Kluyveromyces lactis: one gene and its partners. The main gene of each other region encodes a partner of the protein of the gene in region 2 in a complex. Links are inferred from orthologs where the notes say so. Each region holds a gene or a part of one and is shown on either strand. Other genes may lie near its edges. The genes, in order: SHG1, SWD2 and SPP1.

Region 1 (8,552 bases), on a different chromosome or scaffold from region 2:
GCAACTGCCGAATTTTGAAACTTTCTCCTCCATGTTCGAAGATATATGGTGTCCATACATGAAAGAATTGTTGAACATCCCAGATAATCACAAAGTTGGAAATCCATTACCTTTGAACTCTCAGCAAACTTTGATCAAGCTCTCTATGGCTGATTATAACGGGTGTAAGTTGAAGGTATCTAAATCCAAAAACAAGTCATTAACTGGGAAAAATGGTATTGTAATATGGGATGCTCAAAAGACATTCATAATCATAACGAAAGGCGGATTAGTCGATGAATTGAAAAGCATACCGAAGAAAGGAACAACTTTCGATTTCGAGATTCCAATCAATGAAGAAGAATCTTTAGCCTATACAATTCTTGGTGATAGATTTAAATATAGAAGTGTTGATAGAGCCGGTAGAAAATTTAAGAGTCGCCGTTGCGATGACCTATTATATTACATTAGTTAACGAAGTAAAATATATATGTAGCAGCCTTGCTACTTTATCTGTTCAATCAACTATCATTAGTTTTGGCTTCAAGGATAGTTCTTATCTTTTGTCTCGTCGTCGCATCGTCAAGTGAATCACTCAGAAGCTTCTCCACATCGATATTTGACGTGTTTAAACTCTTGAATCCGTCTTTAAATAATTGGCCCTCAAGAAGAGCAGTCGTGGTACCTCTGTTCTTGAAAATTAAAGACTCATCTTCATTTACCCTATCACGAACTAAATCCCTTACTCGGCTCTTTATGAATTCGTCCAAGCTAATATCACCCTCTACATTTTGAGATAGTATTTCATTCTTTAAACTGTCTAAATGACCCTCCTTCTTAAAAGTTTCCGCCAAATATTTGGCAGGATCTAAAGACTCTTCTTTCAAATCGTTACCATTACTATTCATGCCGTGTACTACCCTTAGGTGATTGTGAAACCATCAATACCAGACCAAGGTAGCAATTTCTTACACTGAATTGCAAAGAAAAGGTCTGCAAAATCGCCAAAATTTCCAGTTTTTTGGCCAAGACAAGATAGTTCAATAGTCAAACCTCCATTCAAGATGCACTTCAACAAAGAAGTGGCAGGAGCAATAGAGCTTCTTGTTATACGTTGAGCCCTGTGTATGACACCTGAAAGATATGAACTATTAACTTCCCATGAATATTCGAAACGGAAAAGAGCTAACATGGTTCACCTACGGTAATTTAGTGAATAAATCAGAGGATGAGTTAAAAGATGTGAATAAACGACTTACACGATGGATTGACCAACTAAGGTACTCGGATGCTAATGGATTGGACGACAATAAGAACCGTTTACTCGATGTCACAAGAGGTTTCTTACAAAGCTTTGACAATGAAATGCAGCATATGACTAACACTATTGAAAGTCCATTGACTATTGGGAGCTTGGCAAAACACATCCTAACAATAAAACTTCAACTAAGGAAAATACAGCCTCTTTTCTTACCTTTAGAGCGAGCACTACACAAACTCGGGTTAAATATACGACATTACTCACTTCTCGTACAATGGCTGGTCACCATTGTTGGATATAAATTATATTCTGAGTTGAACGATCTAATTAGAAGAGGGTTTGAAATTGAGGTTGAGACAAGATCCATATCGAATGACCAGTTTTATGAGGTTTGCAAGTTATTTTCAGACTTAGGATTTGATTCACATTATCATCATTTTTTGGATCCGATATCCCTACCTAAGAACAACGATGTTAATCCACGATTTATCTTATCTATTCTCGAGGGCTTGGTATTAACCTTCAAAACCCAATTGCAAGTACAGTCAGATATTAAGGACTTTGAAGCGGAAGCTTATACCTTCATGAATTATTTGCACAACGTGACTCTCCAAATATATCCCGAAGAAGTTTTTGCAGTGACTCGTGCCGGTTTTTTTGCTGTATTTGCTGACGTTGATTTCTACAAAGCTTCGATCTCACAGAAACTCGGTTCATCACAACCGCTCAATTCTCAGCGTATCAGCTATAATATATGTGGTTTACAAAGTGTTTTGACCGAAAAGGATATACTATCTGCTAACCTCGAAATTACTACGAAGTGGGTACAAGATTTGACTGAGGTTGGGCCTAATTACCACCGCCTCTTGATCCGAATGATGGATTTCATTCTTCAACAGCGCAAGCCTATAATGAGCCGCCAATACGCATTTGAATTGGACTCTAAAAATACTATTAAATTCATGAGACTGATGGTGAAACACATTCTTACTTATTTTCCAGGCACTACCAACATTGGAGATGTGTTGGGTAAAAAAGCATACAACATGACTGAAAAAGAAAGAAGATGGCTAACGAAAATAGGAGTATTCTTGAAGAACACTCGACAATTTCAACCATTTTCTGCTTCGTATTTTGAGCAATACGTTATAAAAGAAATCATTCGAGATAATCTAACCATAGATCTAGTCAAATCTATTTTAGTTGGCAAGAAACTAGAACTTGACGCTCCCCTCGCTCGCTTTTACATAGTAATGCAGCAGGATGCTGGGACACTAAATAATATTAACAGGATGTTCAGTCATTTGTCATTAAAGATAACGAGAAACAATAGGAAGAACGATATCATCTTACCAGCAAAAATATTTCCTAATATTTACTCAGAAAATTCGGCAAAACTTCCTTTTAATCTGCCAGGAAAATGGGTTAACAAACACGAACCACGGATTACAAGTGATGGTATTAATGTACACTTTTATGATCAACCGCATCTACATAGAGTCATCATGAAACCTACAATTTTTCAAAAAACCAACATATCCATAAACTTCAATTTATGTCATGCTGTCATTCTTGATACATTGTTCAATAAAAAACTAAGCTGGTCGCTAGATGAAATGATTAGTGCTCTTTCCGTTCGCAACCAAGCAATGTTCAGCCATTATTTATCATCCTTAGTCAAGCACGGACTCTTGATCAGGAAAGAAGATGGCATATTTGCACTTAATCTTGGATTCAAACCTAACAGTAAACTTCTGGTGAATAATATTTTCACAATACCATGAGCTCAGTATACCAAAACTTCTACTGTTACGTCATTGGCTGCTAGTTACGTAGCCAACACAATGTACTTCCTTTACCTGGCACGTGACTCGTATGTCTTTTTGATATAGTATTGGGCAAGTACGTAGGATCATATAACACTTAGTATTTCAATTGTTATGGGACAGTATGTATCGCATAAAGGTTCCACCCTCAACGTACAGTCAATGTGACATGCCGTTATTGGTTCCCGAACGAATCAAAAGCTCAAAAGTTCTGTACGATTCTCTGTTATCTGAGCTCGAACTGCTGCTTAGACAATATCAAATCCCAGGAGATGACCTTAAACACGATGAAAAGATATATTTCACTTTGCAAAAATTGATTAGATGTAAAGTACCGAGGCTTGCTAAGGCTTCCAGTAATTCAAGTCAATATGCTGCTGTCTTTAAGGACACGTTTGTTGAAGATCTCTGGTCACTTCTTAGCAAATTGATAAATGAACAGGTGGACGAGGAAGATTTCACGAATATAGAATGGTTAACAAACTTATGTGAGTTAGAAGATGCTTACAAAAAGATACAGGGCAAGGTGAACTCTTTGCAATATTACACCAAGGCTTTTCTCCGGAACCTTCCAAATAGTTTGGAAAATATCTCCTGCCGATCATTAGAAGGCTACGCAACGTTAGTCTTTTTCTCAAGAATAGCAAATCGATTGCACTCGCAACTACGACAAACTATCGAATCGTTTATAGTCGAAGCGTTAGAATCACGTACAACATCCCAGTTCAGTTTGGTCAAGAACATTATCAGGTACGATATTCCAATTGATAAATCGTCAGTGTTGGGGCTTTTTGAAGAAACCACTAATCGCATAATTAACTCCTTTACTTATAGTTCTGACCACTTCAAAAGAGTCGACAGTCTTCAAAAACAAATCATATACTACTGTTCCGAATATCAAATATTATGTCAAAATTTAAGCATCAATACTGTGGATATTCTTTTATTGAAGTTTAAATACTTCGAGGATTTCTTCGATAGATGTATGGATGATCAAATGACGATAATAACAATAATAGAAGAGCTAGGGGATATGATATATGCCTATTACCCGTGGCGAGGTGAGGAATATGATAACTTCGTAGTACGAGTTATATGTAAAATGCTTGACGAAGACTATTTGTCGTCCTTCATCTCCACCTATTCCATGTCAAGCGAATCTTTTGATTCTAATCGAAAGGCAATAATGAAGAATATGATTACATTGACTTTTAATGCAGACATAAAGAATATTGAAAAAGTTGACAGATGGTTGTGTAAGGTTTCTGAGGAAGGGCAATTTTCTGGGATTAAAGATCTGGTTAGATCATGCTGCATTTTTATGAACGACATCTTTCCGCCAGACTCAAAACAAGACGAGTTACTATGGAACATATATAAGAGAAAATATTTTCTACGGTCGGTACTAAAGTCATTGGGGGGTTCCGAGCAGCTGATTAAAACAAACGAGAGATTCGACCAACAGCTACTTTGCTGTGGGCTGTTGAAGTCAGTTCACATTCTTGAACTCCAGCAGCTAAACGACGAACTAATTGAATCATTGAGAATGAAGAGAGCTCCAAAGATAACTCCTGTCATTCTTAAACAATCTAACATCTCGGACTCGTTGGATTCATCCGAAATTTCAGGACTCATACTACCGGAACCATTAAATGGTATGGTGAATAAACAATGGGAGTACTACAAGGTTTTAGATAGGAATGATCACAAAACAATGTCACTCCAGTGTCAGCTAAATCTTCTGGAATTGAAAAGCCCCTTTAGACATGGAATTTCTTCTGAAATAGTGATACTTCACGTTAACCTACTTCAAGCATCAATATTTCACTTATTTAATAACAGTGCTCGTCTTTCACTTGAACAAATAAAAAACACTTTGACAGAAACAAAGCACAATATACCTCAGATTGACAGCAATATGGAAATGTTTTTACAAATGAACATGTTTAAAAAGGATTCTGAGGACTGTTTTTATCTGAATACTAAATACAAACCCAAAAAGGAAGCTCTTAATGATGGTAAATTGACACTGTACCATCTTCCTAAAATATCGCCAAAAATTATGGAAAACGATAAGGCAGATAATAGATGGTTCACTGAAATTGTCTGTGCATGCATTATCAGGACGTTGAAACAAAGAAGAAAGTGTACAAAGACAAAACTTTTTGAATATGTCGCTTCTGCTTTCCCGGGTATCAGCCGCGGAGAATTCAAAGACGCGCTTGGGAGATGCGGCGAATACTATACATCGGAAAATGGTAACGTACAATACTTATTATAGAATTTACCTTAGTTTTGATATTTAAATGATTTCTTTTTATTAGTACATTTACTCAGGTTCAAATGCTTGATCCGCCACATCGAACAAGAGCTCCATCGCACTTATTTGGTAGTTCACATCATTCAAATCTTCATTATTAGGTGAAATTATGGTTGGTCCCCAAATAATGCACAATGCCTTTAAACCCATTCTGTTTTTAGTTTCGTGTTCCAAAATACGTTTCAAATGGAATATCAATGCTCTTATCGTCCAATATTGACCATCAGGTAGTTTATAGATGATACCGTGCATATAGTTTTTTCTGGTAGTTGAATCTTCAATCGATAGACACGTTTTAATTTCTTCGGTCATTTCTCTTGGTAAAAGAGTATCAGGGAGATTAGCAAAAAATGTTTTTAACAAAGAACCTACCAGATAAATATCAGAGTCAGTGTAGTTCTTCGGTGGTAAGATCATAAAGACGTTGGATGGGTCCTTATCAATTTCACTTTTGAGTCGTGACACATCAAGAACGTTTGCAGATTTACGATAAATGCCCTCCAAGTTTAGACCGTATTTGTCAATAACGTAGATACATTGGCGGACAATAGCCGGTACAAGATCTTGATCGTAATCCAGAAGATTCTCTAGGGGAACTGCAAATGTCTTGAAATCTTTTGCAGTACCAGGCGGTAATGACCCAATAGTTTGTACTGTTGATGGTGGCCTTGTCATAGTTTCGGTGGTGGCAACGGATGGTGCAACACTGGTTTGGCGAATATTTGGGCGTGGGTCAAGAGTTGGGAAGTCTTTCTTGTTTGTTTCTGAGGGTGGCACAACATCGACCATTGATTTCAATGGTCTTGAAGATGTTGATGTTATGCTATTTCCATTCACAGAGCTCTGAGACGGTCCACTGGAAGCAGAATTTGGCGGGTGTGTGGTAGCTGAAGGTGATACTGTGGATGACAAAGCGGCAGCTGCTGAAGAACTATTGAATGGGGACTCATGTTGAGTGGACATGACTCTTTTTGGCAATGAGTTTTTTGAGTTATTTACGACAAAATTCGAGGGGCCAGATATTTTCCCAAAGTTACTGCTTGTTCCCATTGCGCTAGATGTGTATGACCTTGCCATTGATGGATGCTTTTTGTATTCAACAGGAATCAAATTCTTATTTATCATGGATCCCGATTTGGATGTGTTGTATTTGTTTAGGAAGTTGTAAAGATCCAATTCGTTATTCATCGAGGTTGCAGAACTTCTCATAGATTTTGAGTTACCATCTACTGGGTTTACAGAAACCCCGCTGTTTAGAATCATGTTTTCTGTCCAAATTGTGTATTTTTGCAACTGAATTGACATTGCTGTATCGATTTCTAAGATCAAATCTTTCAACTCAGACACGATCTGTGGACGTTCTTTACTCAAAAAAGTATTTCTCAAAGAATTGGAATGATCTACTCTCTGTTTATACTCCAGATCGGCGCTATCTATCTTACGCTGAAGATCTTCTTCTTGTTCCTTCGTTGTTTTCGATCCCCTTAACGTTAATTTTGTTTTAGTGGGATCAGTTAATCTCAATTTCTCCCAATCTTGACACAAAGAGATGTACCTTGATTTAGCTTTTTCGGCAGTGTGGATCGCATCAGAAACATCCTTTTCAAGTCTCCTACTTTTCTCCTTTAAGGATTTTCTGGTCTTCGTTACAGTTAACAGTAACGCTGTTACTTCATCATAGATTTTTTGCAATGCCCTAACGTACGATATCTTAACTTGCGATAGTTTGTTATCGTACTCCAAGAGTTGATGGATGGATCGAGATAACCCAGAATTCCCAGTTTCTTGGAAGAAATGCTTGGTGGTTTTGGACATTTCCTGTGCATGCTCTTCCTCATACAAGTACTTTTTTCTCATGAATTTGGTGAACTCCTCACATGTCAAAAGGGAACCTTTCAACCTGGATAGTAGGGCATTGATGGCGATATCTGAAGACAAAACTTTCTTAACTTCTTCTCTTTGAAGCAAATCATTTGATTGAGAAGGCTCCGCTACACATCCAGTAAGGTTTGGATCTGTCCCTGACTCAGAAGTGTCAACACTCATATTTGAATAAATGAAGCAATGCAGTTCCTATCACCTCTGAATTAAAATAAATTAGATTAATCAATAAAAAGAACAAACGACGGTTTATATTTAGCGCTCCTGCGTTTTCCGATGAACCGAAAAAAAATAAAATCAGAAACCTAATATGGCAATTGAGTGCTGATACTGAAACCTGCTATATAATTGACCGAATGATATGTATCTCAATCAAAGAGATCCCTTTCTTGCTTCATAAACAATAATGGATCACTTTGATTCACGTATGTGTTTATAGTTTTGATATCGGTCTTCATGTTCCAAACAGACATTCTCCATTTACAAAGCCAGCTTTCGTGGTTAGTGATGGTAGCACGTGATTACCAGTGACAAATAATACAGACCACTCCTTCAGTTGCAATTAAGGTCGAGGATTACGGGAGTGCTTCGACCTGTCGCATCTCATGCCATAAAAAGCCTGCATTCACTGACGTTCTTAAATTATGCCCTAAAACACCACTGTAATCCAGCTTATTACTATTTAACCAGTTTGAATTTACTGTTCTTCTGCTGTTTCTGAAAAGCTTAAAAAAAAAATGTTTCGAAAATGAAAAGATACGTATCTCATCGCTACTTTTTGGAAGAGGATAATCGTTCTCTCTCTCTTTCTAATAAGGTTGTCAGCCAGGTCGATACAGCGACTGTCAGCTGGAAGAATTATTCAACTCTTTGAGGCTTGTCCTGTGCCAAGTTGTATTCAAAAATGGATAACCATTGTTTGATTTATGCAGGAGCATGGTGCAACGTAGTGTCAGGACAAGACATGTTAAATCTTGTCTAACTTTCTCTCCATTTGTCTTGGGTTACAGAGTATATCTTAATGATGATACATTTCCTTCAGTGCATAGTTCAACTGATAAGGATAACTTCCTATATGAAGATAAAAATTCATCGAATTTAGTCTTTCGCTCCTATCTGAAATCTCTGTCTCTTGAACGTCTTCTTTTTTAATTAGTATAGCAACTTGTTATGTAGAATACTACATGCTCTTACTGATGTCCTATTTATTGAAATAGTTGTCTCAAACTACGGTTTTCAATGCATACATCTGTACAGGATAGAGGCCGTCAGGTAAACCTCTTTG
Region 2 (12,173 bases):
TGCGTATGATCTACAATCCAAATTGTTCAATACTTTGATCATTGATGAAGTTTCACAAAGTTTAGAACCTCAGTGTTGGATCCCTTTAATCTCACATTTAAAATCAGATATGCAAAGACTCATAATAGCTGGAGACGACAAGCAGTTACCTCCAACGATCAAAACTGAAGATAATGATAAAGTAAAGCGCTTGTTGAGTACTACCGTGTTTGACAGATTATTGCAACATTACGGCAACGAATTTAAGTACTTGCTAAATGTACAGTACAGAATGAACGAAGAAATTATGCAGTTTTCTTCTAACGAATTATATGACGGGAAATTGAAAGCAGATGACTCCGTTGCGAAACAACTGCTAGCAGATTTACCAGGTGTTGAATCGAACGACAACACTACTTTCCCATGTATTTGGTTAGATACTGAGGGAGACGACTTTCCAGAAAGGTCTGATGAAAATGACAACGATGCAGACGATAAGTTCCACCTAGTCTCTTCAAAATACAACGAAAATGAAGCATATTTGGCATTATACCACGTTGAGCAGTTGATAAAGGCTGGTGTTACGGAAGAAAGTATTGGTGTGATCTCCCCGTATAATTCACAAGTATCGCTGTTGAAAAAACTCATCCATGAAAAGCATCAAGCAATTGAGATATCTACCGTAGACGGATTTCAAGGTAGAGAAAAGGAGTGCATCATCCTATCTTTAGTAAGAAGTAACGAGAATTTCGAGGTTGGGTTCTTGAAAGATGAAAGAAGATTAAATGTCGCGATGACCAGACCTAAAAGGCAGCTTTGTGTCATCGGTAACATGGAAATGTTATCGAGATGTCGAGTGCCATTCCTAAATAGATGGGTGCTCTGGGTAGAGTCTGGCTTCGAAGTCATATATCCAGATCCCAGTATAATTCATTCGTTATATACGTAGAAATCTACAGTTTCATCTGCAGTGACAAACATGCTATATTTAGGATTGAATGCAATAGTTCTGGGACATGTATTTGGTGCGGCGTTAATAAATCCTTGAGGTTTGAGCGTCCTACCACTGATGAAGTCTGCGTGGTTCCATATCGCGATCTTCCCAGTGTAATCAGTTCCCAATGTAATGCGTCCATCTGGAGTGAACGTTGCGGATCCAGAATCCATGAACTCTCTCAATGGGAAAGGTTTAGTTCCTGATAATTCAAATAACTGTGTACCATCGAAGGAATCCATGATCAAATGTTTTCCAGCGGACGACGCAAGCAACAAATATTTACCATCGTTTGAAAACTCCAATTTATTCCACTGATCAAAGCTTGGATCCACATTTATAACTAAAAATGGGCCCGCCTTCAAATGTTTTACGTTATATAAACCGACTTCATGGTTCTCAGGGTTACCAATGGCGAACACAAGCCCGCTTGGATCGTAAGCAATGCATGTGGGGACTAAACTTGGTATAAGGGCCTGTGCCTTGGAGCTTCTCAAATCCCAAAGTCTTACCGATTCGTCATACGATGCAGACAAAAAAGTATCATCCAACGGGGACATTTGTATATCGCTCACTAGAGCACCATGGCCCTGGAAATATCTAAGGTATGTGTTTGTTTCAAGATTCAAATGCCTTATGTCAAACGATTTCATAGTGGATGAATAGATACATTCTGATTGCGCATGTGTAAACTTTGCGGAATGACATCCGTATTTTTTAGAAGCGATGGTATTCAAAAACCTGCAACTTACTGCATCATATAGATGCATATTATCACTAGCAGTTGCAGTCAACAAGTACTGGCCATGGTCATCAAATGTCACTGAAGTTATAGGTCCCAATTCTTTATCAGAAACTCTGAAGGACTTCACAGGCTCAAATCGTAGAAGATTGCTCTTGGAAATGCTAACAGTCATATTTCCTTTCTCAGCTAACTTTTAGATAATCACAGAACTGTTGCTAAACCGCTGGTGTCCCGTTGAGCTTCTCTTTTTGTCTCCAAATTGGTAATATTTCTTGATGGTGTTAACAGTTTTATTTAAATTTAAATGTTCCTCGAAATTGTAATGACATCTGTCAAAGAAATCAATAGTGTTAGTCACTTGCAGGTAGAGAAATAGAGCCTTTCTGGTCTTACTCTGGCTTTATAAAGAACTGACATATTTGAGATTTGTAATAAGAATCATGGGTGTACGTACCGTTCATTTTTTTGAAGAAGGTGGTTAGATACACCACCGTTTTCATCAACGGACTTTGATTTACTAACTAAAAGGTAATCTTAACTGCATTTATCAAATTCCAATCAGGTTAAAGATATAGTTCATTACAGTATTGACTTAGCGTTGTTGTCTATGGTATTGGCTGGATTGCGTAGAAGTAACAATTATGTTGTCGCTTATGAAATGTCTGACTTGAAGAATTATATTAAACGGTATCTTGACTGGGGAGAATACTTATTCGATAAGTTGGCTAACATGGCTGAAAGAAGTGCTTATTTTAGGAAACAGACTCCTTTTGACAAGTTCTTGGATCATATGGAAAGAAAGCGTAACCTGTAGTTACACCAATAACGTTTATTCAAACATACATACTAATATATAATATTCAGTTCTTTTTAGTGTCTTCTATCAATTCATATCAAATATAAGATAACTGGAGTGAATGCCATCAAGACGCCGGCGTTTAACTACTGGTAATTGGTGAGTAGTACAGCTCTCCTTATTTTTGTTGATGCTTTTTCTATTTCTTTTAAAATAAAACCTTTAAATCATGATTTACTTGTGTCCTGTTAAACACCACTGTGTCAATGGCAATAACAGACATTAAGAGGCTGTTCACAAAATATTTTTGGAGACAGTAGGCTTTACAAGTAAGATATGGGGCTTGGAGAGTTTATGTATGGCCTTGATGCCTTCAGACAACCTTCTGCACCATCCGATTTCAATAACATTCCTTTGATAAACAATCTACGAAAAGAGCTTCTGCAAAGCAAGACAAGCAGAAAAGGGAAACCGGTGAGTTGGAACATTGATAAAGATACCAAGAGACGGATCAAGCCTGGGAAGAGATTGATTCCTCTTGCGGCGTATACTTGCCATAGTGAGAAACCTTTAATTGCCAATAATGACGGAGATGTGTCTGATTCCAATACCATTAACATTCTAGATAAATCGACACTATTGCTGATAAGATCTCTTGGCTACTCAAGTTTGCGACCTATTGGCATTGATAAAACCCTAAAAGAGATCGAAAAGGAGAAGGGAAGTAAACAGAACAAGCAACAAAATGAACACAATTCAGGGCAAGAACCAATACTTAATGCCTACCAAACTTCCTCTTCATTTATTGTGTCAAATCATAATCATCAACATACAGAACAATCGGTACTGCTGACAGCACAAGTTGGTGAACAATCTGAAGAAGAGTACGATCAAAGTTATGATTACGATAACGAGTATGCGGAAGTTCACGAACAAGGATCTATGCTCGACAGAACGAGAGGTACGTTTGTTGAGGATTCACAATTAATTGATACAAGTTATACCAACCGGTCAAGATCCAGGCATTCAAATGTGGATGCACTGCCATTTGTAAATGAAAATGAGGATTCGGTCCATGAACAGCCATCGTTGACCATATCTGATACTCTAGACTCCGGTGCTCAAGGTTCACGAGTATCTAGCCTCACCTAAATGCCTATTAAAGAAGAATGACATGTATTAAACAAATAAAATAAAAAATGCTAACCTTTATGAATGATATTTATGCGAGTACTGAGAGACCATTATTCTTCAAACGATACTAAATTAGGTAGGTCTTTCCTAGTTAATGCTATTTGTTCGACTTTAGCTGTTTGGATATGGATTGCCGGAATCATCCATTTACCACAACTGCATCTAGAACCTTTCCAATTGTAACCTCCGATCTTGCTATCACAGTTCGGACAGAAAAATTTACCTTCAAGCTCTTGCTTTTGTAATTCTTTCTTCATCCATTCCAAAGGCTCCACGAAATAGTGCGAACAACGGTCTTGTGATTGTTGAATATCAATAATTCTTCTAGATCCTGCGGCCCTCCTAATGAAATGACCTTCCATTGATTCCTTACTTGGAGGATCATGCTTAATGAAAGAAGTGGAAAATGCAAGTCTAAACCTACATTTTTTGCAACGGATCGCAGAAACATCTTCTACTTCCTCTTTCGATAACTTAGCTACCTTTTCAGCTTCAACTTCTTCAGACTTATACATTTCATTTTGAGCCATGATATTGGCTCCCAAGGGATCAGTTTTAATGGAATTCTGTAATTTCCATTGTTTATAGTCTTTATTCTCGACATCCACTATATTCGAACCCATGGCTTCATACAGCTTCAGTTGCTCCATAAAGTTCTCATTTGGTTCAGCTACGCTCCGTTTCCTCTTCACTGCATGTAAAGCTGTCTTCAAATTGAACCCGTATCTGTACATTAAATACGCTACTGCAAACGTAACAGATCTGGATACACCTGCTTGGCAGTGTATATATATGGCACCCTTTTGGGGCTTCTTTTTGAAATCAACCTTCACTCGGTCAAGCTCTATCTCATCGGGAAACAGGCATGAATCGATGTATCTATTCGTTTCATTGAAATACTGCAACACATCTGTACTCAAATTATCGTCAATAGGAATATTCTTCAAAGTATAACTCTTCCTGACCAAGTATTCTGGAATGATCTCAAATTTGATCACTGATAGGATGTGAGTGATCTGATAATTCACTTTCAGTGGAACATGGTTCGCAATTGGTTGAATACCACCAACATAGATCCCACCTAGTACTCTTGTAATATCAGATTCAGTATTCGCCATTGCAGATGATTGTAGCTGATTATTTATGAATACTTGCCGGTACTAATATCTCTCTCTGAGGCGATTCCCGTCCACTCATTAAACTTTACCTCGTCTCATCTCATCGCTTCTTCTTCTTTAATCTTTTTGGCCTTGGAACAATTTTTTTCCAGTCTAGTTGAGGGAAAGAAACGTGATTTGTGTCAGTGAAGGTAGAGATGATATGATACTTCTGTAGTACCGACGGGTAGGATAGCCAAGTGAGCTTGGATGTGGGAGCCCTTTGCGCGACAAGGCATCCTTGTATGTTAATAATACAATCCTATATAGTTAATTGTCTGATTTTTAAATTCCAGTAGTTTTTCCTTATAGGATCCCAAGTGTCTGCTAATGCCTGATATGCGATCTTGGACTTTTCCGAGTCTGTTTGAGAATATACATCAGCTAGGAGCTCCAATGCGAAAGAAGACTTAACATGGGAGATTGGTCTTTCTTCTTGGTCGGTATATGTCTCCAAGGCGTTATCTATGAAGGACGAAGCAAAATTAATCAACTTGGAATCGTATTCGTTATTCTTGAATGACTTATAAATAAAACGTAGATGGTTCCAGGGGCTTACGTTTTGTGGAGCCAACAATATCTTATCCATACAGTATTGAATTTCCACCTCTGCTACTCCTTCCTCTTGAACATGATCGACGTTCTTCAAATAAAAAGCTCTATGGGTCCAGGCGCTGTTGTTATACACGTCTCTATCGATGTACTTGTTCACAAAGTCGAGTTCATGGGACCAATCTTTGAAGAATTGGACGGACCATTTGCGGTACGACCATACATGGTAATTTTTTGTATCGTCATCGATCATCACGTCTAGTATAGGAAGGTCTCGCACTAATTTGGGGGATGGATGTTCTGAGAGTAGCGCTTGTCTGTACGACCAAATCTGGTAGTTTTTCGGGTTATTTAAGGTGAACTCATCGAGCCAATCCAATTCTTTCTCCCATGCGGATACATCTTCTTTCCGGAACAAGGACATGCAAATCTCGAATCTGTAGTTCCATGCGGTGTATAACGCTGGTACAGTCTCAATCACCGCGGCAGTTACTGCCATTGCTCTTTCAGATAATTCATTTTGTTGTAATAATGCAACGAATAATGATACGAGTTCCTTGTATTGGTCTGTGTATAGGATGGCACATAGTTCATTTTCCAATCCAGATTCGATTGGTATTCTCTTAACATCAGAATAATCGCACTTGTCCATGGTATAGTGTATTATTTGTGATGTTCTTGGTTTTACTAAAGTTTGGTGAGAGTGTGATAAGGGAATTGTACTAGAACAGGTCACGACCCGGGGAACAACTGTTATATATAGTACTTAAAGGGGGGAGGGAAGCTATCAAGTTTCACCAGTGATGAGAATTGCAATGGATTTTTTCCATACTAAGTAACCTCAAACAGAGAAAAAGAGTCAAGGTGAACGGAAACCAGTCTACAATGAAGTGAGATCTATTCAATTTTGATGCATTAAGACACGAAAAGTTCTTCTCTGGTGAGGAAATTGTCCGTGTCATGTCCAAACGTATGTTCTTTACACTCAATACACAAACAATCACGTGATGGGAATTGTTGATGGTAAACACATTTTTCTGGCGGATTTTCCGCCAGAAAAATGATGGCTTACCATCAAGGGTAGTCCTTCTGTAAAGAATGAACCGCACAATTATCCCCCAAAAACACATTTCCAGCCCAGTTTGAAGAGGTTTTGTTGGATTTTTGTCGGTTTTGCATCAGCTTAGACGGACAATATTGGAACTTTTGAATTTTGAAAACAGTTTTACAAGGATTTAACAAATGATAACACGGCTTGTTATTGAGAATGTATTTGTTTAGCCATATCAACAGTGTATTGATTCAGTGTAGCGATAATATAACCAGGGCAATTACTATTAGATAGGAATAGTCGTGCTTTGCTGAAGTCAAGGATGCTTACAGAGAAAAAAGACACGTCTAAAGGCGATCTTTTGAACGATTTTTTGTTTTTAGGAAACGATGAGGAAGCTAGGGATAGCGCCGGCGATAGCGGCCCTCGAGAGGGCAGTCGCAACGTAAGTAGTAGTTCTGATGCTATTGATGCTGCAGACCTATTTGACCAGTATATTAATAAGGATATGTTGATGGAATCGATAGAGGACGATTCTTCTCCTGGTTTACTCAAATTGGATTTTGTGTCCCCTGTGAAGATGGAAAACCAGCTACGTACGAATGTTGATTTATTGAAGTTAGATACTGATGAAATTATGGATGTGAATGAGCATGAGGATGTTGACGATCAGATGAATGCTTCTGGCGGTGTTACAGATGTCCACGACGATTTGACTAGGGAAAATGTCGAACAATGGAAACTGGGAGATGAGAAACATAGCAGTAATAACACCGGAGTGCCAATGCAGAATCTTACATATTACCAACAAAGTGAACGGTTACTTACCCATGGGATGGAATTTGGTAGAACACGTCCTTTCAAGACGGTATATTTGAACCCAACTGATTTTCTCCCCAAGGATGATGATGATATCTCATTGCCATACAAATTGAATGTAGATGGAATCCCCTCTGTATCTAGAGTGGAAACTCAAATTAAAGTCAACGTCTCGATTTCCCCTCCACCTCCACAGTATATGATCCATTTACCGACAGATAGTATAACGAAACAGAAGCTTTATTTGACTCACGATATAACAGAGTACCCCATCGAGGTGAGGAGGCAGATGTTGTTTTTGGAGACTTTTTTGCTTTGCTCGTCAACAAATAAGACCACATACGTTTGTGCCAGGTGTGTGAAAAGAGAACAACGTAGAGCTGCGAGACGGAAATCTGGTGTAAGTGATAATCTGCTTTGGTGTAACAACGATAACAAGAGAGCTATTGTTTTTAATAGCAAACAAGTCCTCTTAATGAAAGAACATGAATGCAATGAAAACTCTAAAAATTTCTCTTTGATGACCCGTATCGTATGTTACTGCAGACATCATAAGGAGCCAGAAGGTTTCAAGGTGTTGATGGTTCTACGAGATGCAGATGATAATATCTTGGCAAGAACAGTGACAAACAGTATTGTTATTATGGATAAAAAGACGACAAGCAAGGGTAAATCTAGTGACAACCGTACCAGCGATGGTTATGTCAAGGATGAAGATTCTATGACAGGACAAGCCAGCGATTATAGTAACTCCGAATCCTACGTGAGTATGAAAGCTGAGGACTCTTCAGCGCCAGTACGGCTTTCTATACCAAAAGGTATGCCCTCTCCAACTTCCATTACGGAGGATTCTTCAGAAAATGTCCATACCGACCATGGTCCAGTAAACCCGACTACTCCTGGCTTTTTCCACTCTTCTGCAGCTGCCTCGGCAAGAACGAATGGTTATAAACGTCCAAGAAGCTCTATAGACGGTACCAATAAGTCAGAACGCTCGTTGTCTAATTCTTCAACCTCAGTAACTACAGCTTTGGATGTTTCTTCTTCGATATCTGGTCCACCTCATTCTTTGTTACAAAATAAACAACCAAACTTGTTATCTCAAATGGGGTCTGTGAAACCTGCTGCTGCAGGTATCGCAGCACCAGTACAACAACAACAGGCAGCTTTTCCAAGGCCTAACGTGCTAGTGCAGCAGATGGGTTCGTCTACAACGAATACTGTTCCCGAATCCGGCCCAAAACCATTTATTCAACGTGTTATTCCTGCTCAAGGTCCTATCAAAGGTGGCATCGAAGTGACACTATTGGGTTCCAATTTCAAACCTAATATGATTGTTAAATTCGGCGACAATAGAGCTTTATCTACTCAGTGTTGGAGTGAAAGTACCATCGTTACATATTTACCACCAACTTCGAAACCGGGTCAAGTACTAGTTTCTGTTTTCGAAAGAGAAGATCATGGTAATGAACAACTGTTGGGTAACATGTCAAACAGTAGGGCTATTTTTACATACGTGGACGATACCGATCGTCAATTGATTGAACTAGCTTTGCAAATCGTGGGACTCAAAATGAATGGTAAATTGGAAGATGCAAGAAACATTGCCAAGAGAATTGTTGGAAGTGATGGTGGCTCCTCGAATGGTTCGACACCAAGTTCAAACATCTCGCCCTCGACGAACTATAACGCTGACTCATATGCCACTAACTCCAGCAACCAGGTATACTACTCAGACGAAATGTTAATATTGAAAGTCGTGAAATTGCTAAACCCTGGCTCGAACCTATCCATGTGTAACTCAGATGGACAAACTATGTTACATTTGGCATGTTTGAAGGGTTACTTCCATCTGGTTTCTGCCTTGGTCAAAAAAGGTGCTAGAGTTGACGTTACTGATTCATTCGGTTTCACACCATTGCACTTTGCTTGCATCAACGGTGATGTCAAGGCTATCCAACTCTTAGTAGAATGTAAGGCCAACGTTACAGCAAGGGCAGACAACGGTGTCGATGCTCTCGATCTATACAAGTCGCAGCATGTTTCGGCTGCAGAGAAAAACAACTCCTACATCGAAGATGCTCTGCGCTTATTGGCCACGCATGATGGTGGCATTGAAAAAAACGAATTAGAAGACGAGTTGAAAATGTTTGGAAGAAAATCAAGCACCTCCAGTTTCCATTCCAGCGTATTCGATGCAGAATCTTTGGACTCTGTTGATTACGGCTTCCAAGTTCATGTTTCCAAGATGGTGCAGGATACATTATCGGACGATTCAGAGTACGAATTCAGTGGTTATGACGAAATGAGTGAATTGGACGATGAAGTACAGGACGATACTTCACTAACCATTGCTCAGCGGGAATCCCAGTTGCAACTCTCGACATATGTGCATCCCTACAGAGCAGACGGCACTGGTACGACAGTCAAGCCATCGGAAGAATTAAGCCAGGATAACGGTGAAGAGCAAGAAGGCGACAGGTCGGCTCGTACTCCAGAAGGACTACCTAAATATGAAGATTTATTCCCAGTATCTGGATTGAACACAAGCAAGAACAAGGTCACCGAATTGAGCCTCTCTATCGTCAGAGAGGCCAGTGTCGATACTGCTCCGGATTCACACGATTCTCAAACTTCAGAAACGTCCGAGGATGAAGAAGAAGCCCTACAAGTAAGATTGAACAGATTCTTCCAACAACGCCAAAACTTCAGAAACGATAAGATGTTGATTTTCTTCTGGATTCCCGTCATGGTTATCCTATCATCTGCGTTCCTAGCATTCCAATTTGGGAGAGACGGTAACAAGATTCATCATATCTCGGAAACGGTATCCGAAAACTTAAGAACTTGGATGGCAAAAACTTTACTAGGTAACGACAGAATGAAGGCTGCGTTTAGAGAATCCATCCATAACCTACAAAATCATAGACTGCTGGGAGAAGGAAACTACCTGGTCTAGTCGAACTTTTAATTTTCTTTTTCTTGAACCGACCTTTTATCTATGTGCAAAGCCCGTATATAGTCGAATCTTGAAATAATGGCTTTTTGTTAAATGACACGATACCAGATATCTAGTATGTATTCAAATATATAATACATACGCATAATAAATCATCGCATCCAGTGTAAATGCCCATTTCTGACTTTGTTACCCTTTGAAACCACATATTCTCACTGACGATCCTATCAATTCAACAGATTTTCATGGTTTCCCGCCTTTGGAAATCCAGAACGTATGAAAAAGCCTGAAAATCGAAAATATAAAAACAATAACAAACTTAAAAGGCTTCGTGTATTTTTACTCATTACATCAGGAAGGATTTACATGGGGTGTGTTCGTTGATTACAGATCAGAGACTAGTGCCCATTGATTGTTTGAAACTCGTCAATTACTGTAGTGAACAATTGAGTTATTTGACCTTTAATTTCACAAAAAACGCTCCCTGAAACAAGAACTAATACGAATCATCTACAATGGAAAAGATCAGAGAAGTATGTGTGGCGATTTTTCATAACTACTTGATCCCCTACCTCTCGGTCCGGTGATCAATGTGAATTAAGCAATTACTAACAAGATGCAATTCCTCGTCTGACGATCATTATCTTTAATGCTGAAATATGAAACGGTATGTCGATTGATGGCGATCCGCATTTGATTTCAGTAATAATGAACGTGACAGATTTGGAAAGTGAAGCGGGGGTGCTATCGCCCCCGTTTTTTGTTCGAATAGAAGCTAAGCAACTTGAAATTAGAAGCCGAGTCGTGGCAAGACAAGTACGAAGAGTTGAAGGAACAGGTGAAAGTTTTGGAACAAGAAAAGACGGATAACGAAAACTTGATCAAGTCTTTGACTACCAAGAACCAAACTTTGGAAGAAGAAGTTGAGACTTTGGAAGGTCAAGTCTCTGAACACAAGCAACTAGCTGAAGATTCTACCAATTTGAAATCTCATAACGAGAATTTCAGCAAGAAGAATCAACAATTGGAGGAAGAATTGGAGGAAAATGATTCCAAGTTGAAGGAAACCACAGAAAAGTTGAGAGAAGCTGATTTGAAGGTTGAGCAATTGGAAAGAAAAGTCACCTCTTTGGAACAAGAAAGAGATGATTTGGAAAAGAAATATGACGACTTACAAACCAAGTACGATGCTGCAAAGGCCGAATTGGACGAAATCTCTGCCTCTTTGGAAAATTTATGATTGGGCCCTCCTTTCGCCAATTCCCTTCTAATAATACGAAACGAAAGAACTCAGATCAACAAGATCTGAATCTATACCCAAACGGTAATAAGAGCCTTACTGATGCCAAGGATACTCAACTTGAAGTAGATACGGGTCTCAAATTGCTATACCAACATAAACTAATGCAACAGCATGAGTTCGTTTTTTTTATGACAAGGGAACGCTTGGAGCCTTTTGATCTTCTCTTTTTTATAACAGTCCTGTTGCTTTTCATATACGCTTGCGCTTGAGATAAAAAAATTCTACAAGATACACATCTCACCTAGATATTCTAGTCCGTGCTTCTTCATCTGATTCCTCGGTTGACGGGAAACCAGACTCTACGGTAGAATTTATTGTTTTGGCTCAATATACATATGTATACAAGTTTTATATAAATGAATGAATAAAAAAGCTTTACTTATCTTTGAGAGTTATGGTACTACAGACGCCAAGATAGGGGGAAACTGTAACGATTGCAGGCGTTAATAGGATCGAGTCCATCTAACGTTGCTCTTTGTTTTTCCTTTAAAGATCCGATATCTTGCCTTTTTCCTTAAAGACGGTTCCACGGATTTTCATCACTAAAAATTGTTTTAATATTATATATATATATATATATCAGTTGACATTTCTATACAGAATTCACCACAATGGAGATATGTA
Region 3 (12,347 bases), on a different chromosome or scaffold from region 2:
TGCGTCTTCTTCAGCTGCAGCTGCATCGTTCTCATCCTTAGGTTCTTCCTTCTTGGCTTCATCAGCATAGAATCTAACACCGGAAAACCTAGCAGAAAACTGGTTGGAGGTTGCAGCACTAGATCTCAAAGTGCTAGATACAAATGGCACAGTAGTAGATCTGAAACCGATTGGAACAGTTCTGGTAACGCTTCTCAAGAATCTGGTTGATGGTCTCATATTTTATTGTATTCTGTTAGTAAATATTCTCTGGTCGACTTGAGTCTCACTATTAACAGTGGTTATTTAGCAAAACAAAGTGAGTTCAAATCCAACTGAGTGTCAATAAGAGGTAGTGACAGTTGGTATGTAAGATGTATTGGGTTGTTTTACTAATTCTTTCTTCTTAAATGTCTTCTTATATACGGTTCTTTCTCTCTTTCATGATCATTTTTTCAATTCAAACCAAACTCTATGAAAAAATTGAAACTTGATCCGATTTATGTTGTGGAACACGTGACATGCAGCCATTTGAGAAATGATTTATCTATACATGTTCCTGCATGTTCTATCTAGTGGGCCAGTAGGGGCTAGCAATCAATCCGCCCAACAAGTTTGAATAAACTTCTTCATGTTAACGTGTTTCTTGGTTTGTCCCACCATCCAGGGGTGTTGTAGCATTTGTCTTGGAGATGGTCTATCCTTTGAATCTTTTTTCAGACTGTAATCAAGGAACGATTTGAAGGATTTGGACCATACTATGCCTTGTTCTGGTTCATCTTTCAATTCAGGTGTGAAAGTCAAGATAAGCATCAAAAGTTCTATAGGGGGCATGTTTGCTGCTAGTTTATCCGTATCAAATGGTGAGTGTCCCTGTGCAACTTCCAATAGTGTGAGACCCAAAGACCATACATCACTGGTAACACTGTATGGCTGGCCCTGTATCCTTTCTGGAGCCATGTAGTATGATGTTCCTGTAAACGTGGTGGCAAGAGAGTTCACTGCCTCTCCACTGACTCCAAAATCGCAGAGCTTTATTTGTCCTATTTCGTTGAACAATATGTTCTGTGGCTTAATATCTCTATGAATGATCTTTCTTTCGTGTAGATAAAATAGTCCTCTAAGTACGCTCTCAGCTATCTTCCCCAGAACCTTCTCACCAATTCGTCCCCCCTTAGAGAGAAGGTGCTTGTACACCGAATCTAGCGATCTTCCGCCCATATATTCCATCGCAATAAAAATTGTCGAGGTTTCTTCGCATGCAAACATCCCGTAATACCTCACTATGAAATCAGACTTACAACTCTTGTTGAATTGCAATTCTCTGAATATTTGTTTCTCTGAGCCATCATTCTCTATCGTGGCAATGGTCTTCAATGCAAATATTTTTGAACCGTTCCTTAACTTACATTTCGTGACCGATCCTCCAGTTCCTTCGCCCAATATTCCCAACGTATCAATTTGTTCATGGATCTTGTAAGTTTGCCATATATCTGACTCAAGTTCATCTGTGCTATCATCTCTATCGTGCTCTATAATTTCACTTTCTTTCCCATGGTTTACCAGGCTTGTGCTGCTGCTTGTTGTTGGTTCGCTATCGTACATGGATATTAGATTGGAAGTCATCGAATCTGCACTTTGGGTTGACTGCTGTGATCCAGACGTTGGCAGATGGTCCGTATTGATCTTCAGCCCGTGCAATTTGTTCGAAAGTGATCCCATCGCACTTCCAGAGTTAGTACTGGATAGCGGTGTCACTGATGATGCTGTCGGTGGAGGTACTGGTCGATTTTTCAAAGTCCGTGCAGAACTCGCCGATGCACTACTAGTCGGAGTAGCACTAGACGGTACAGATTTGGAAGGAGGTTGTCGAAGCTTTTCATCCCTAATATCTGTTATTGGCTTACTATTGGAAACCAATTGCGGTGGTAACGACAATTTTGGAGGCTTGGAATTGGTTCTCCTAGACTCTGGTGGTCGGAACATCGAAGCCATCTTTGCTTTCACTTCACACTTGTCTTTTCCGTGGGTCCATACAAATAATATAAATATCAGTTAATATCACCTTATGCGACAAGTAAACAGCGTTTTTTTCTATTCAAACGTTTGAGCTGTTTTTCTTTGAAGTGTCCGTTGATATTTTCTTCTATCGAAGTAAAAAGGGGAAACCTCGGTTCTCGTGTCTTAATCCTCAGCGGATCGCTTTTATACTCAGTTTATCGTTTTAAAATGCCTCTCGTATCGTATTCCACTGGGATACGTCCGGAATATTACTCCTCTGGGCCTCAGGATTCTCTTATGTGCCAGATCATCTTTATAATGCAAAGAGCCGTTTAAGTGAATTTGTTTTATTAAAGTTCGAATTAAAGCCTTGTCCTGAAAAAAAAAAAAATTCAGAGACAGCCGACGTGATCGACCAGTACAAACATTTTAAGATTATATAAGGTTTATCAACTCATTTTAAGTTCAACATCTACCGTTTCCTTTGGTTATTTGGAATCAGATTTTGAAGTTGAAACATTTCAAGCTTCTACCCATAACTTCCATGCTCGTATTTTAGCAGAAACCAGTTGATATTATGTAAGAGATCACTGAGACAAAGTTGATTAAGCCAATAATCGTCGCAGTATGCATGTTGTAGGTAGGTACACTTTTATTCTATCGTATCCTTCATTGCTTATCGATGCCGGTGTTATTCTTGCTATGATAGGCCATCGAATGTTAAAGGGAAGATTTATTGTTTTGCCCTTTAAAGACGAATTTGGACCGTGAATGTTTAAATATTCACAAAAGAGTAATAAACATTTATTTTGACCGTGTTAACAAATTTCAATAATACACACTTGGACATAAACATATTCATACATATAGTCTTTAGCTTACTCAGATTCTGCAACCTCTCCGTCTCTGCCATAAAAACCTTTGTATATAGTTAGGTAGCCATCCCCGTCAACAGTACCAATTATATCTCGAATCAAAGGATGCTGCGTTACAGAACCCTTGATCAAAACTGTATTATCAGGTTTGTAGGCGGATCTTCTACCGCCGCCAGTATGTAAGAATTTCAAAGAATGTTCTTGTATGTCATCTTGATATATTTCATCAGAATCTGCACTGTCTTCGCCCTGTTGCTCGCTTTCGTTGATTAAATAGCTGATATCCCAATGGTACACATTTCCCGAAGCACCTACAGTGAGGAAACATTCGGGTTCCAAGGGGCTGAATTGGATATCGACCACAGGATCGTTATCTAATTGGTACAATGTGACTATTTCTGTGGCATCCTTCACTTCTGTGGAATTTCTAGCGGCAATGGAACGTAAATCCCATAGTTTAATAACACCGGCATCAGAACCAGTAATGAAAAGAGTATCAAACTGTTTCGATGCTTCAACAACGTTTATCGTACCATCATCTTCAACTTCTGATCCTGCAGTCGAACCCTCACTAGAACTGGAAATTGAGTGCAAGGCCAAGCTAAATAACATTTCATCTCGAGCTCTAATATCCCAAAATCTTAACAGATTATCCTCAGTGACTGTGCTGAACAATGTAGCAGTGTGGAATTTAACGCACCGAGCCTGTTTGGTATTTGGCAATGTAATGGTATGTAGCACGTCACCTATATTGTCAGTATTGTTGATGACGGTGATTTTCGTTCCGCTCTGTGCAGATTCTGGAACCGGAGATTCGAATCTGACCACATATTTTCCATCAGTTGAAATATCGAAGTCAGCCGTAACATCTTTTTCTGAAGATCTTTCTAAACTTTTCAATGGTTTCTTACTAGAGCCATTGTACCATGCGAGTGTACCCTTTTTACTCATTACAATCAGAGCCGATGTGGAATGGTTAGCTTTGAATGACGCAATGGACTGTCCCTCGAAAACCCATTTTGCATTGGCAGGCTCTGAGAAAAATTCGCTGTACCTAGGCTGTGGTAGCTCTTTATCATCATGACTTGTATAAGCTCCAATAGGCAGCTGTACACCAATCTCGTATATTTCGCTCCGTTGCGAATAGTAAATAGACGTGTTCAATAAACCCTTATCTGCCTCTTCCGAGATAAGTTCGGTGAACAAAACTCTCCTTTCAGGTGACTGGGCACTTTCAGAAGGGCTAAAGATTTTAGGTTGCAATGTAGAGATATGCTCATACAAGGATGGGATAGTTTTCTTCCAGATCTTGAACTCTTCGTTCTTAACCTTGTTTGTTCTGATATCTGTTGCCATATTTTGTTTGTAAGTTTATGTGTTTAAAAGCTTCCTCCAAACGCTTACCACAAAACCAATATCTTTGAAACTTACAGCGAGAGAATAGAGGTTCCTAATAGGAGATACAATTATAAGGTATGTCTGCTATCTTTTGTCCTGCCCCTTTATATTTCGTAAAACAACCAGACCTTAATGGTGATATTGAGCTCATTGGTTTTTCATTTTTATATTGTTTTCTCATAGAATGAATAACATGGTAAGTGACTTTAACTATGTGACGATTAGATGAATTAGGTTTACGATAGGATAAAGCTTATATACGTTCAATTATTGGACTAGAAGCATATGAAAAACCTGATGTTTGTATTAGGTTAAATTATTTATACATGCTTTTCTTGCTAGTTGATGCTACAAGTTAAATATAAGCGTTTCGCCTTCATTGTAATGACAGAAAAGTGACACATTAGATATGAGCTAGGTCTTAACACCGGGTAGGACGCGATTGGACATCTCTTGTTCGAAGAATGAGATTCTCAATTGGTTCGTTCTGACGCTAATTAGTAAATCGAGTCTTCTTTTGACGTTTTCTAGAGAGTCCTTCTGTTCCGAGAGATCGTTTTGGGACAATGTAATCCAATCCTGATGCTTAGCACATTTTGTCTTTACACAAACACCGTCAACTGATGTGATATTACTGTTTTCGTCTTCTTTCAACTGAAGTAGCTTATCTAAAAACTCCTCAACTGACCGAGGGATCGTGAACTCATTATGGTAGCCGCATATTGTAACTTTACTTGCACTTTTCGACTTCTTTCGACCTGTAGGCTGATTGAAATGTGGGGATAATCTCTCGTTAACTTCACCGATCCAGTTGACGTATTTCTCTATTACTGCATCTTCTTCATTTAGTTTTGAAAGCTTGACCGAAACCAACTCATCGTGTTCGTTAATTAATTTGTTTAAATGCTGATCATTTTCTAGCAACTTGGAATATTGATCTTTGGATAAAGGTGACGTGACTTCTGGAAGCTTGTCTCGTCCTAGCGTTTTAAATTCCTCCAATGATGTTGTCTCGTTTAGAAGCTGTCTCAACAATGCAATCTTATCTACGCCAGGTAGATTTAACTTATCAACAATGCTTTGAACGTATTGAACAGCATGTTTCTTTGAACAATATTTGCTTCTTGAATTGGCATCACACTCTGTATAGCATTCAGGGAGCCTGCATTTCCTCTTCCAAAGAGTTTTCGGTAGTTTGCCGCCATTTATCAATGCCGGTCCTGTAATTCCAGCACTACAATACGAACAGTAGAATGAAAAAACGAGATCTCTATATTTCTCGGGGATCTTTAAACAGGAAAAATGAAACCAATCATCACATCCATCACATCCTACCATCAACTCCCCAGTGTCTGGTTTCTTACATATACAATAAACTTCTTCCCCAGTTTTTGGGTCGTGTTTCCTGCTGTCATACCTGGGGCACCAACTAGGTAATGACATCGTGAATACTGTAAATTCAATCCTATACTGGAGTTATCTTATGATGATAAATATCTAGGCAGAAAAAATGAAGTATATTCTTTGTAATATTCAAATGCAACCATTCATGTACCCTTCACAGGCCATATTTGTGTTATTTCTCTGTTTATTTTACCTTCATCGATTCGTGTAATGGTTTTTACATTTTAATATTCCTTTTCTGATGCAATGTGTAAAGATGGAATGTAATGAATAAGCCAACATCAAATTAAGAAACAGATATACCAAGATTCTCAGAAATATCACTTGCCCTTTGAGTATATGAACAAGTGCGTGATTCGCTGACTTATAATTGATAAACTTCATGACTGCTGCGAAATTGACACCGTTGAAGCCCATTCCGACCAAACACATCGACCCCGATTTAGCAAAAACCCCCGAGGATGCCAGCGTCAATTTAGTGTTGAATATTAAGAAATGGCTAAGGTGGACGCAAAAATGGTCTTTATTCCCTCTAGTAACGTACTTTCCGTTACACGGTATCAATGCCCTAATAATTCCTGCTCTTGAGCCCTCCTCTTTTCCAAACGATGCTTTAATGATGGTTAGAGAACTCACATCTGGACTTGGATCTAAGTTGATTTGGACTGGGATATCAATACATATATTATCCGGATTTGCCTTGAGAATAATGAGGAAGCTGCCTACTTCTTCGAAAACACATAATGCCGAATCCTTGCTGGATACTCAGTCACTTGCACAATCTAGAATTGGTCTTGTAGGTGGTTTAAGTGGGTACTTTATTGGGATCAAGAGAAACCTTCAATATAATCCACAAGAGCTTACAGGATGGTTGTTAACTCCAGTATTATTCTTTCATGGTGCCCTCATGAAATGGCTGCCAAATACGGCGAAAGTTGATATAGACTTTGATTTTGTCAAATGGCTACTAGATAAAGACAGAGGTGCTTTGGTGAGGATAGGTCTCGGATATGGCCCCTTGGTTGCTCTTATTGGTTTAGGATCGTATCATATTATCGCTGGAACCGTTCAATATATGCATGTCCGTAGTCTAAAGACTCGTAAAAGAATAATGAACTTCATATTGCTGCTTATTTGTACCGGATATATTGGAATAAGCAGATTGGGATCAGAGATCGTATTCGGAATGGACAAATATTATAGACCAATCCTAAGAACATTGTCATTATCATGAAAATGTATGCTTTACTTCCTGCCAGTGATACACCGTTCATCGTTAATTTTATTCACCATGGCGCTTGTTTTGGTCTTCCTGTACCTAGTTTTATTTATTGTGTGTGTGGCACGTCCATATGTACTTTTGTTTATGCAAAAATATTTATTTATCCTCTGTTAGAACGAACACGACTCAAATTGTTCAACAACTTGTCATATGTCTCGTCAACGTTGAGTTGTTCGGTGGTGGTTTCATCTTCGACATAACTATCTTCACTTTCAGATGGGAATCCATTTTCCTGCGCGGAGTGTCTCTCATCATGACTCACGTTCCCGTCCGGTCTTCCTCCAGGTGATAAAACTAATGGCTTTGCATCAGCAGGTGGTTCAACTTGGATACCATAAATATTATCCAACTTGACTTGTTGACAATTAACATTATCAATCAAGTCTTCAATGGAATTGATACCTTTCGCTTTGATGATAGCCTCACGAAGTTCCGTACCAGATGGAATCTTCCCAATGAGCTTTGCAGATGCCGCGGATTTAGACAGAGCAGGAATGGAATTTGAAGAAGTTGGAGGGGTAGATGCAGTCGGTGTAGCTGCAGGCTGCCCGGTTTTCTGTGAAGTCTGCACTTGTTCTCGTGGTTTTTCAACGATTTGTGACAATTGTGGTTCCTTCCTTTGTGCATGCTTATGCTGTTGCTGTTGTTGATACTTAGACATAGGCGTGTTTTCTGGGTATATGGATCGCTGTTGTTGAACGAAGAACCCCCATTTGTGCAATTCACCTTCTTCCTCTTCTTGCTTTTTACCGAAAATAGAACGTTGAGAACTTGTCTTCGTTAAGATCGGCCTACCTGTAGTCACATCAATGGTCCTACCAGAATCAGTAGCCATCAGATGGGGTTTAGCACTGTTCGAATCTTGCTCGTGTTCTAGCTCTTGATCAATGTCCTGGTCAATAGGATCGACAAGTGGTTTCGCATACATTATTCTTTCGGAGTCAACATGCTTCAGTACTGGTCTCTCATCACTAGAAGAATAATTATCATCATCTTTATTCTTGGCATAATTTAATTCCTGGATATACGGATTAGTGGACAAGTATTCTAGGATATTTCCTAAGGTATTTTCCATGAAAATAAGTCTTAATAAATTTTCTTTGCTCTGTAATGACAATTCTTTTGAAATTCTTTGTTCGAACATGCTGTCTATGGTTTTTTGAACATTGGCATGAATCGTGTGGATTTTTTCCCAATAACGCTTGAGTAAATACCTTTTCGTCGAATCTTCTTGAAGCTTAGCAGAGTCATTGAGCTTATCTAAAATATTACCGGCTGTTTCACTGATTAGTTCACCATCGAAAAGTAAATCGTCCTGCGATGAAAGTTCGTCCAATTGCCAATTAGAGTCAATTGACTTCTGCGCGTTTCTAACTAATGCTATTGCTATTCTTGAATTGATTTCCTCTGGAATGTTCTCGTAGTTGAAGTCCAAGTTAATCAACTTATCGCTATTCTTGATACAATCATATAGAAATACAGCTGCACTCATTGCCCATGATTCTTGTGGTTGGTTCATCATTGAAACATGTAAAAGCTCTTTACACTTGGGTAAAATCTGTGTTACAAGAGAAATGTCCTTATAGGTCCATTCATTAGAATCAAAATGTAATCTTTTTAGAGAAGGGAAACGCGGTAGATATTTGTTCAAATAAGGAAAGATTGCAGGGAATAATGAAGGCAATCCCGATAGATCTAAGAAATAAAGTTTCGGTAATTTTGATAGTTCCCTTATAATCAATGCAGCCTCTTGCACCGATTGAATGTTTGTTGAATTCAATGTGAAGTATTGTAATGAGTCGAAGCTGCGTTGCGAAAGCTCTTTGATAATTGGTTTTGTCAAATTTTCGAAGTCATTAAATGCCAAATCAACACCGATGATATCATTTTCAGACATCCATCTAAATAGAATTTCTAACTGTTCTGAGGAAGCTATCTGAGATTGAGCGAGACCCAACTTACGTTTCCTTGAAAATTCGTTCTTAGTTGAGGAAAACGCGTTTATCATATTTTCGAAAGTGTGCAAGTTATTGGCAAAAGAAACACCATTGAGGAGTAGCTCTTCTAGTGGTTTACCTTGTCTCTTGTGCAAGACATCAATGAATAAAGACCAATCCATTTGAGACCTGTGTAATTTAAGATCTAGATCATGTCTGATTTTGGTCTGCGAGATGTCTAATTTCGTCAATGATTTATTTCTCATCAAGAATTTACACAATAGTTTCCATCCACGCTCATCGAAAACAACATTTCTCATCGATAGTCTTTCAAGGGTGATGCTTTTAACTAATGAAGATATGACTATCTTAAACATTTCAGGACTTAGGCCGACGTTATCAAAGACAACGTTGTGGATAGGGACAATAGCAATAAAATCAGAGAAGGACAATATATCAATAAGAGTGGGCCTTGGGTTCAAAAACTTTAATGTTTGCAAAGGTGCCTTTTTCTCCTTTAATTGTCTCAAGGTAGAAGGAATCGGAAGAATTTCACGCAAATGGCAGCATCTGGTGTAGACAACATCTAACATCAACTCATTGCCATTCTCATCCTGTGTACCGCTAGTCGAAGATGGATTGGCTCCATGCTCGGAGCCAGTTCCATTACTAGAACCCGAAGATTCTTTGAAATGATGTTCATGCATATGTATAGGTTTATCAATCTCCAAAGACTTAATCTTTTCATCTGCCACAACCCCCGCTTCAGCATTTGCTTCATCGTCGGTGGCTGCTCCAGATTTTGGCACAGTACCATTGGCAGAAGGCTTTAGGTCTGTCGAAGTAGAAGGTTTTAATTTGAAACCGGCAACTTCGGAGGCAATTCTTTGAGCCGCATAATGTGCTTCTTGCTGATGTTTCTCCGATTCCTTAAGACATTTTTTATGATTTTCCAAGGCAAGTTGGTATTCTTTAGAATCTTTTGTGTAAGCAGATGCTGGTAGAGCACCATGCTGATCATTCCCATGTGAGGAAGGTTGGGCTGTCGTTGTAATACCTTGAGATATAGAAGGGATATCACTGATCATGTCGTTTGGAACAAGAACGTTACCCAGTTTTGGCTTTCTCGAAGGAATTTGTTGAGGAGGGTCCATACCAAATTCATCGACTGCAAAAGTAACTCTTTTCAAATTAATCTCGGTCAATTCTTTGATAGGCAGTGGATGCTTCGATTTATTTGGATTTTTGTTCAACACGACACGATCGTGTTGAATTGGCGCCATATCCTTAACTTCCGGAGAGTTTGGTTCCTTAAGGAACTGGGATATTTGTTGTCTATGAGACGCAAATTGCGAGATGTTGATAGGAATAGGTATTCCTCTGGAGGAAGAAGAAGAAGAAGAAGAAGAAGCCGGAGCAGCTGTGGTCGAAGCCTGCGTTGGCGAGGACGATGACGATGCTGTCGACGCAGAATGGCCCGACGCAGAAGAGGAAGAAGTCACCGGAGCTGGAACCGAAGATGATGTGGATGAAACGTTTGTATGGGACTCCAGCGGTTGCAGCGGTTTCCTATTGAACAAAGAACCGAACAACGATTTCTTTGGTTTTTCGCCCAGCGAGCTGCTCCTCCGAAGGACAGCAGATGATGGTTTCAAAGAGCGACCAGACGTATTTGGAGAGTTAGCTGCAGTCTGGCTCAGACTCGCTTGCGAGTGTGAGCTTGACCGATTACGAGTCTTTGCCGCGGGAGTTGGAGTTTGAGCAGGTTCTGAACTTGCAGAGTTCTCTGGTCCAGCACCGTCAGTGCCAGCCCCTGGTGTTGCTTCTGCAACACCAGCAGACCCAGGAGCAGGAGTAGGAACAGAAGTGGAAGCAGGAGCAGGAGCAGAGGGAGTAGCCGGTGGAGCTGAAGAGGAGTCCAATCTCCTATTCGCTCTGACCTTCTTCTTCCCCTTATATAACCAATCCACTTCGACGTCAAGATCCAACGAATTCGGCATGTAGACTGACACTCCTGATATAGTCTGTTGAGAAACAAAAAATTGGGCAGTAACGGGATTAGTTCTGGTATTATATTGGGCTAGTTGACCGTTCCATTTCCAAGAAAAAAAAAGTGAGCTTTAATTCTAAGCTCTTAGAATAAATACAATATATACTTAACATTCAATATTACAATTATAATTATCACCAAATAGTAAAGATACAATATAAGATTCAGAAAAACTAAGTGGATTCTCAAAATAGTTACAAAGTGGGCAGGGCAGAACCGCCATAGAGAGAGAAATTATTATTAATGTAAGAAAAGTAACGCACCCGTACAATTGGCCGCAGCAGATCGAGATCCATGCATCAACTGACGTATTTTAGAAGAGTGAAACAAGGAAGATAGATGGAAGGCTCATCGTATTATGTCTGGAAAATGTATTAAAATTGAGCGAAATAAAGCATGGGAGGGAAATAGGATTACGAATAAAAACAGAAAAGACAAACATATAAGTAGTATATGTAAAAGAAACAATTGATGGCAGTTAGGATCGAATGAGGGTTCGAACTGGCGACGACTGCGAAAAAAATATGTCAATAATGAATCACCGAAGACCACTAGTAAACGGAAACAAGAGATCTTCGTCCGCAGCACTGCATTCGACGGTCTCCCATACAACACCCACACACCTCACCATATCAGCTTGCGGGGAGAGTCCCTCCCCCCACTATCCTTCTGTAATTATCCCCCGCTTGACCTCCGTCCGTTGCCGGTGTGGGCCGCCGGCCGCGCCGCCTTTTCCACAATTTTCAACTTTCAATATTTTTTTCCCTGGCACTGGTTTCGGGACGACCAAAGGGAAGAGAAGGCTCGTTCTTACCGTGGTAATTAATATCCACGGAATTTGTTCACACGACTCGGGAGACTAAACCAGGGTAACCATCAAAACTAAAAAAATTGTGAAAGGAGTCAGTCAAACTTTTGTAAACTGGGTGGCATGAAGAAAAGAGCGCACAGCATAATGTCAACATATGTCATACTGCCATCATCATCATTCAAATCCAATTAAAATCCGAATCCGATTTGGAATTGTATTTCGGTCACTTGTTTTGCACTGCTCTTTCTTCCCTTTCTTCCTATAGCAAATAGTTCATGATAATGATATCCTTGCAACACGCCGGCTCCTTATCAAGACTTACACCACCCTGTAGCATTGGATAAAGATTCTTACATAAGACAATACGAAACCGCTGTTAACGCTTGTATCCTCTGCTGCTTTGTCTTTTCTCCCCGTATCTTCTTTGTTCCTTCTCATTGTTTTTTTCTTTTTACACTTTTTCCCAGTTTACCACGCTTATGGAATATTTTGTATTAGAAATTTAAACTTCGACGCCTGGAATTTTGGATTTTTAAGAGTTTTATTATATATATATAAGAGTCATTTATTGTGTATATAATATGCATCACTGTAATTTTATAGCAAGAGC

Evidence for each region.
Region 1: SWD2 (region 2) and SHG1 share a complex: the UniProt entries of both Saccharomyces cerevisiae proteins name them as parts of the set1C/COMPASS complex. The link is inferred for Kluyveromyces lactis from reciprocal best matches to the Saccharomyces cerevisiae genes SWD2 and SHG1.
Region 3: SWD2 (region 2) and SPP1 share a complex: the UniProt entries of both Saccharomyces cerevisiae proteins name them as parts of the set1C/COMPASS complex. The link is inferred for Kluyveromyces lactis from reciprocal best matches to the Saccharomyces cerevisiae genes SWD2 and SPP1.

The regions. Positions count from the first base shown.
Region 1 is NC_006042.1:190,034-198,585, reverse strand, and holds SHG1 (Shg1p), read right to left. Parts: upstream 888-8,552; coding exon 501-887; downstream 1-500. Other genes in the region: POP4 (RNase P/RNase MRP complex subunit), read left to right, coding at 1-454; KLLA0_F02167g (uncharacterized protein), read left to right, coding at 1,141-3,024; cullin RTT101, read left to right, coding at 3,191-5,347; GTPase-activating protein RGD1, read right to left, coding at 5,396-7,432; TAE1 (N-terminal protein methyltransferase), read right to left, coding at 8,490-8,552. UniProt on the Saccharomyces cerevisiae protein: The COMPASS (Set1C) complex specifically mono-, di- and trimethylates histone H3 to form H3K4me1/2/3, which subsequently plays a role in telomere length maintenance and transcription elongation regulation.
Region 2 is NC_006041.1:1,598,088-1,610,260, reverse strand, and holds SWD2 (WD-repeat containing protein SWD2), read right to left. Parts: upstream 1,891-12,173; coding exon 910-1,890; downstream 1-909. Other genes in the region: ATP-dependent 5'-3' DNA helicase HCS1, read left to right, coding at 1-928; MCO12 (Mco12p), read left to right, coding at 2,159-2,164, 2,281-2,532; MND2 (Mnd2p), read left to right, coding at 2,851-3,666; tyrosine protein phosphatase YVH1, read right to left, coding at 3,759-4,826; RAM2 (bifunctional protein farnesyltransferase/protein geranylgeranyltransferase), read right to left, coding at 5,128-6,069; KLLA0_E17953g (uncharacterized protein), read left to right, coding at 6,791-10,246; KLLA0_E17931g (tropomyosin), read left to right, coding at 10,762-10,779, 11,019-11,486. UniProt on the Saccharomyces cerevisiae protein: The COMPASS (Set1C) complex specifically mono-, di- and trimethylates histone H3 to form H3K4me1/2/3, which subsequently plays a role in telomere length maintenance and transcription elongation regulation. Involved in mediating RNA polymerase II termination.
Region 3 is NC_006040.1:612,979-625,325, reverse strand, and holds SPP1 (Spp1p), read right to left. Parts: upstream 5,697-12,347; coding exon 4,668-5,696; downstream 1-4,667. Other genes in the region: mitochondrial nucleotide exchange factor MGE1, read right to left, coding at 1-219; mitogen-activated protein kinase kinase MKK1, read right to left, coding at 577-1,974; KLLA0_D07282g (uncharacterized protein), read right to left, coding at 2,859-4,211; MCP1 (Mcp1p), read left to right, coding at 6,040-6,891; HER1 (Her1p), read right to left, coding at 7,040-10,876. UniProt on the Saccharomyces cerevisiae protein: Component of the Set1C/COMPASS complex that specifically mono-, di- and trimethylates histone H3 to form H3K4me1/2/3, which subsequently plays a role in telomere length maintenance and transcription elongation regulation.